Linked DNA regions of Daphnia pulex. The main gene of each other region encodes a partner of the protein of the gene in region 2 in a complex. Links are inferred from orthologs where the notes say so. Each region holds a gene or a part of one and is shown on either strand. Other genes may lie near its edges.

What was found. The genes of interacting proteins can lie anywhere in the genome.
Region 1: RNA-binding protein with serine-rich domain 1-B-like (region 2) and histone deacetylase complex subunit SAP18-like share a complex: the UniProt entries of both Homo sapiens proteins name them as parts of the heterotrimeric ASAP (apoptosis- and splicing-associated protein) and PSAP complex. The link is inferred for Daphnia pulex from reciprocal best matches to the Homo sapiens genes RNPS1 and SAP18.

Annotation. Positions count from the first base shown.
Region 1 is NC_060018.1:4,705,734-4,708,572, forward strand, and holds histone deacetylase complex subunit SAP18-like, read right to left. Parts: upstream 1,527-2,839; 5' UTR 1,385-1,526; coding exon 1,301-1,384; intron 1,239-1,300; coding exon 1,132-1,238; intron 1,044-1,131; coding exon 953-1,043; intron 854-952; coding exon 659-853; 3' UTR 559-658; downstream 1-558. Other genes in the region: uncharacterized protein LOC124210509, read left to right, coding at 1-126, 188-536; protein toll-like, read left to right, coding at 2,659-2,839. UniProt on the Homo sapiens protein: Component of the SIN3-repressing complex. Enhances the ability of SIN3-HDAC1-mediated transcriptional repression. When tethered to the promoter, it can direct the formation of a repressive complex to core histone proteins.
Region 2 is NC_060025.1:2,684,553-2,688,342, forward strand, and holds RNA-binding protein with serine-rich domain 1-B-like, read right to left. Parts: upstream 2,260-3,790; 5' UTR 2,178-2,259; coding exon 2,176-2,177; intron 2,075-2,175; coding exon 1,925-2,074; intron 1,869-1,924; coding exon 1,710-1,868; intron 1,643-1,709; coding exon 1,278-1,642; intron 1,218-1,277; coding exon 1,082-1,217; intron 1,018-1,081; coding exon 858-1,017; 3' UTR 644-857; downstream 1-643. Other genes in the region: transmembrane protein 11, mitochondrial-like, read left to right, coding at 2,528-2,550, 2,632-2,852, 2,919-3,031, 3,093-3,266; dehydrogenase/reductase SDR family protein 7-like, read right to left, coding at 3,355-3,715, 3,779-3,790. UniProt on the Homo sapiens protein: Part of pre- and post-splicing multiprotein mRNP complexes. Auxiliary component of the splicing-dependent multiprotein exon junction complex (EJC) deposited at splice junction on mRNAs.

The sequences.
Region 1 (2,839 bases), on a different chromosome or scaffold from region 2:
TAGCTACCAGAAAGCTTTGGATGCGATTGATTCATCCCTAGAAGAAGATTTGTTTACCTTGTACCTTCATGCTCAAATCTGCGCACATTTCAAGCAATACAAGAAAGCTATCCAGCTCATCAATAGGTATTATAATTAGTTCATGAATATAAAGCGTAACTATTAAAAACCAAACGTTATTTTCTAGATCAATTTTGCAACTGAATTCTATAACCTTTGCTGTGAGTGGAACGAAAGATGTGATCAGATCCCAATTATGTTTTAAACTGTCGCAATTATTCGATGAAATTGGAAATTTGAAAGACGCACATCACCAACTAAGGCTGTCCTTTCAATATGGCATTTCTATGAATTGTCAAATGCTAGAATTCTATCATAAATTTACATGTAAACTGGGAGCACAAAAAGAAATTCCAATTCCGTCTGATTCTCATCAAGAGCAAGAGGAACTGATTGCGACAATTCTGGAACATTCGGATGACTTAACCCTTAATTACTTAATACGGGATTCTTATGCAGCGTTTAGCCTTCCATAAAAAAATGCAACTGAGAAATACATTTTCTATGTGAAAATTTTTTACTGTCAATTATGAAAATGACTTGGAAAAATTGCTGGAAAAAAAAAACAAGAATGCCGTGTCGATAAACAAAAAAAAAGTTAGTATGGCCTGAATCTCCTGTTGCTTTGATTATTCATATTTCTGCTGGGTGGAGTGATGGCGATGTCAATATAGTCTCCAATGGTAAAACGGCACTGTTTGAGGGTCTTCATATCATCTGGCCCGCGTTCTCCTGAGATTGTGGAACCTATTTCACGTCGAGACATGCTTAGTGTGCTTCGGTCGGGGAATACCTAAGCAGACAGAAGAAAAGAATGATGTATAATGATGAACTAACAAACAAACACAGCAGTTCCTCTTTACTTTAAAGTACTGTATGAACTAGAATGTACCTGAGCAAAGGAAAAGCGTGTTCCACGGCGTCTGGCTTCATAATTAACTTCTCTCACCAATCCAGTAATTTCTTGAAGAGTGGCATCCATCCTATAAATGCAAAATGCAAAATTTCATGAATTCTACGATTACACATAACTTTAGCCGTAAATATCACTTTTTCTTGGGATTTCCTTACCATGTATAAATTTGAAGCTCACTTGCTGGCACACTACCTCTTGCATAATCACCAAGACTATGGTGTCTTCCCATGGCACAGAAAACACGAAGTAACAATGGGCATGTCTGCAAAGAAAACTCAGTTCAGTCATATTTTAGATTAGAAAATGCAAAAAATGTTAGTCTACCTTTTCTCTGTCAACAGATTTTTCAGTTTCTCTATTTTCTTCTACTCGAACGGCCACAGCAGATTCTACAGTTCCCGTAGCCATTCTGTATGGTTTTAACTTCAAATTACTTTTCACAAGGTTCTTGAATAGTTTTAATGATTGAGTTAGAAGAGCCGGGAGAAACAAGATTATTCTGTTTCATGGACGCGAACAACTTCTGATGAGACAGCGCCTCAACCGGCTGATAGTGGCAATTTGTAATTTTGCCACATTGCCATCATGTGAATAATGTCTGCGGAGTGCGGGACGGCCAGGCGGGCCAGCGATCGAAAATGAATTACGGCCTTACCAGAGCAATAGATCCCTGGTCGGTTCACGGCTGTGTTGGCTTCCCCATCTCGATTTTAGGGTAAACGTAAGCCGATTTTCAGGGGGTTTTAGGGCGGGGCCTGTCAGAATTGTGAAGTGGAAACTTTAAAAAGAGCCATCTAGGCTCTCAAAAGTAGCTGGACGTTGTAGCTGACACACTCACTAGAGGCGCTTTTTAAAGTTTCCAAATCGGCTTACGTTTACCCTAAAATCGAGATGGGGAAGCCAACACAGCCGTGAACCGACCAGGGATCTATTGCTCTGGCCTTGCCTTACGCATTTCTTATTTAATGTAATAGTCCGCATCTACGCGTACTAAATACTAACCACTTCAAATAATTAGCTGCAATTTAATTGAAGAGAAGATTGGATTGGTGTTTATTTTTAATTTCAAACTAAGGATTAATCATTCAGAATTCGAATCACAATCGGAACTTTTAATCATGTTTTAATTAGAGAAAACTATGTTTTAACATTAATAACGTATGGCATTCTATCAACGGAGAAGTCTTTTCAAGCAAATATGTTGTCTAAAAATTATGTTTTTCATTTCGTTCTGAGTTGTGAAAGCTTAACCACATTTTAACTTTCCCTCGGCTCTGTTTACGTGCAATAAATTCATAATACGAAAGGAAATACATTGCAAGGCCTGTTTGATCGGGGTATCACGTAATGTCACAATCTACGGATATCAGAGAGAGACATCTATGGCTGAAAACATCGTGAAACTTCGTTCACGTTCATTGTGATTCATGCTGGGTAAATAGAATCTAAACAATCTAGAATATAGGTGGCAGGCGCGAACAATGATCACAATAGACTGCAACCCCCCTTGCCAACTCAGGCCTTTGCTCACTTTGTGATGTTGCTATGTTAGAAAGTTCGTAGAATCGGGAAATGGGAACGTCACATTGTAAACGTCAAGGTCATGAATCTCGTATCGCCTGTTGAGTGTTGACTAATGAAATACGTTTACTCTTAAAGAAAAAGTATGTAACAGTTTAGAAATGTCCTACCGTTTTGTGTTGTGTTGTGTTCTCTTTCAAACCATTGTTGTCAGTCAAGAACTAAGTGCTGCTATCGACCAGCATCCAGAAAGTTTTTGGAAATGTTCTCAACGTGAAAATCCTGAATGTCAATGCTTTCCGAAGACAAATGGCGATTTCAACTTACAATGTTCAGTTGGTG
Region 2 (3,790 bases):
GGTGCAAGTTGATTCAGCCGTGGAAGAGATTGTGGTCGAAGAAAAAAAAAACAAACAAAATATTCTCAAAAACATTTCCAATGCGATTCGCTGACTGCTAAGAGGATAATAAGAACCAAACAGACTTCCGTAATTGAGTACAGCTGTGCAAACAAATTTGTTCCAACTGTTGGGCGCGCCGTTGCCGGATGTAGGAAGACAACACAATTTACCAAATCGACTTTTTCATAGGAGGAAAAAAGCAGTTAGAAACAGCTACATTCCGGTTGTGAGAAATTTCTACCCTCCCCCTGATAAAAATTTGCTGTTCCTTTCTTTGTGTTTATAACACCGAGGCGAAACCGTATCTCCCGCCTTTCACATGTCACTTGTAAACCGGAATGAAAGTGTTCTGACTTGTCATGTCCCGCTACACACACTTCTATTGAGTTTCCAACAAACAGATCCAACTAGTTTTTTTTTAAGGCTTATCCGGTTTCTCCTCCAGCAGCCATTGACTTTAAAAAGAAAGCATTACTACTCGGATTACTGGAAAACGTCAGATGGCAACATAAACTTGCGGTTGGGTAACTTTTTAAATTGATAGATAAAATAATAATAAGACTTTTCATTTCAAATGAAAAAGAAATGTAGTAGAAACAACTGAAGGACAAATGCCATTGTCAGGTGATATTGTATCGTCTTGCAGGATTCCATCGAAAAAGGGAAAATTTACGGAATACGTGTGGCATTTACGCTATTGACTCATCAGCAACAGCTCGGGCGAAAGCAAAATCTGAATCACGAGCACAAAGTTGAGTTGATAAAAAAAAAAGAGTGGACGTTCTTCAACGTTAAATAAATCATGATTGTCTTATTTAACGCGAAGAAGATGATGAACTGCGACTGTAACGGCGATTGTTGCCACCTGAACGGCGATTGGGTGAACGAGACCTGGAACGGGCAGGTGGAGGTGGTCTCCTATCTCTGTCCCTTCGTGGAGGAGATCGTCGACGTAGGGGAGAACGTCTTCGGAATCTGTAGAAATGAACACAACAGATGCAAATAACCGGAATAAAGATTTACTTTAGTAGTATATTACCTTGGTGGAGATCGACCACCACCCATGCCCCAACGGCCCGGTCGATTTCTGGGTGGTGAATTCCGTCGAGGTGGTGGTGGACGGTTTTTAGGGATCAGCACAGGGGCGGCTGTGATTTCTTGTCCATCAATTTGGCCTAGAGATTATTTGAGATTAAAAACGTATTTATAGCAGTAACCAACAAACGTTACTTTACCTCCGTCCATATGCTTCATTGCATTTTCTGCTTCGTCGGCAGTACTGAACTCGATGTAAGCAAAGCCCCGGTGGAGGTGACTTAACCCAGCACGTTCGTTGGGAAACTCGACAGCTTTGATGGTTCCGTAAACGGAGAAAATTTCGTTAATGTGTTCCTTGTTGACATTGCGCGTCAGTCGGCCGATGTGGATTCGAAGTGGCTTGGGTGTAGGTGAACGATCGCGACGACGCCTCCGGGGAGATGTAGAGCGGGATCGTTTGTTTTCTTTGTTTCTGTCTTTGTCAACATTCTTTTCTCCATCCAGTTTTGTTTTCTCTTCATCAGGTTTGCTATCAACTTTTGGCTTATCACTCGCTGGGGCTCTGTACGTCAACAAAAATGCTGTTATCACAAGAAACTTGTTTACCGTCATCCAACTAGAATAATTACCTCTTTTTCTGGTGCTTCTTTAATGAACCGCTGGAACGTGAGGAACCTGATGAATCAGAAGAGCTAGATGAACTAGATGATGATCTAGAGTCTGAAGAAGAACTGCTGGATGATCGTGAACTAGAGCTGCTGCTACTGCTGCTGCTGGACGATCTAGAACTGAAATGTCACATTAAGCTGAAGGTTTCATTAAACACAACAAAGTTTAACACTACCTTCTGCTTGAAGAACTATCACTGCTTGAAGCTCTGCCTTTTTTCTTCCCAGAATCTTTGGTATCCTTTTTGTCTTTGCTAGCATCTTTTGATTTACTGGAATCTTCGCCGGCTTTCCGGTCTTTTCGATCGCCAGTTTCTTTGTCCGGCCTAAGTGATTTACACAAATTTAAAATATTGTTAATTTAGATTCATCGTAAAAATTTACTAAATTATTAAATGATGCTGAGGATTTAACTCGATTTACTCACATTTTCAGAAAGTTTTATTGAAAAACATACGAGTTGATAAAGGGGAGGAGCGTTAAAAACAGACGCTTAATGCCACTTGCACAACGTTGCCTGTATTAAATAGATTCTCGTTTTTATTTTTATGAATGTAAAGTTATAGTTTTTTAATTGGAACAAGTTATGTGAATTTTTTAAAGATTAAATCAAAGATTATTTAATTTTTTATTATTAAAATGTTAAACTAGTTGTACGACAGCCGACGGCAACGAAAAAATGTTTCGGCAATGATTGTTTTTGGGCTGTTGCCGAAACTCTACAAGGCCGTCAGTACGTATAGCAACCACTTGAAAACACTGGCCAAGTGGCAAAAGAAATGGCAGACAGGAGAAAGAGCAGGTAATCCCTTGCATGACTGTTTAAAAATATTATAAGCTTCCGGTCGTCACAATAATATTATGATGCTGTTTCAAATTTTAGCGGGCCACATTCGGCGGAAATAGCGGTCGTAAGAGAAATCTATGACGGTGAAAACGCCCAGGAAAGATTTGAGCTAGAACTAGAACGAGCTCTGGAAGCTGCTGTTCCAGTAATTGTCATTGAGCCAGTTCGACTAGGCGATGAAACGGCGCGATGGATCGCCGTTGGAAATTGTCTTCACAAGACAGCAGTACTTGCTGGACTTGGTTCGGTCATAACAGGTAAATTGTTGCTAGTATTCAGTTGTTGCATTATATAAGTCTAATTTTGTTAAATTTCCTGTTTAGGATTTTTCTGTGATAATCGTCCATACATATACACTCCATTAGGTCTCCTTTCCTTGCTGTGTACAGGACTGTACACAGCATCTTGGCAATTTGATCCTTGCTGTAAATACCAGGTAGAATACATACACTTGACTAAGTTGGCAAAGGTCATAGCAGATATCGGTTTTGCTTCAGGTTGAAATGGATACAAAAAGACTGGCCAAATTACCAGTTAATAGGTTGACCACTTCCAGTCCCATAGTTCTCGTAAGAAGAGATGATAACAAACGGAAGACTCTTCATTGCACCATCTGTGTTACAGCAGCTAGCATTACCCTTTGGAAGCTGTACTTTATTGCCTTCAAGTAGTCTTGTTATAAAGAAAACTTCCCAAATGTACAAACTGAACAATACATCCTTATTATATCAGAATGTATTAGAGATTCTCTACTAGAAATTAACGACTTTTTTTGCTCTTGGCCGCTCGACGCGCCATAAGTTTGAAATAAACGTTGGGTAGAATTGCACGAAGAAATACTGCTAAACGATAAAAGAGTGAGCAGAGCATCAGCTCTTGGGTTTTTTCCTTAATTGCAATGACAATTTCATATGCAGCTTGGAGTGGATCCGCTCCCGACTCCGTAGTTTCATCCGTCTGTCCATATTTGTCTCCTCGGCCCGTCAGCGCGTTCAGAGACAAACTTGTGCGGATGTATCCGGGGTTAATGACTGTCACATCAATCTTGTGACGATGGATTTCCGCTCGCAGACTGTCGCTAAATGCCTGAAGTGCATGTTTGGAAGCAGCATAGGCCGATCTGGAATCGACATAGACGATAAAAATTAAATATTAATGTATTCAAAAACATGATAAAACTTACCGAAACGGAATT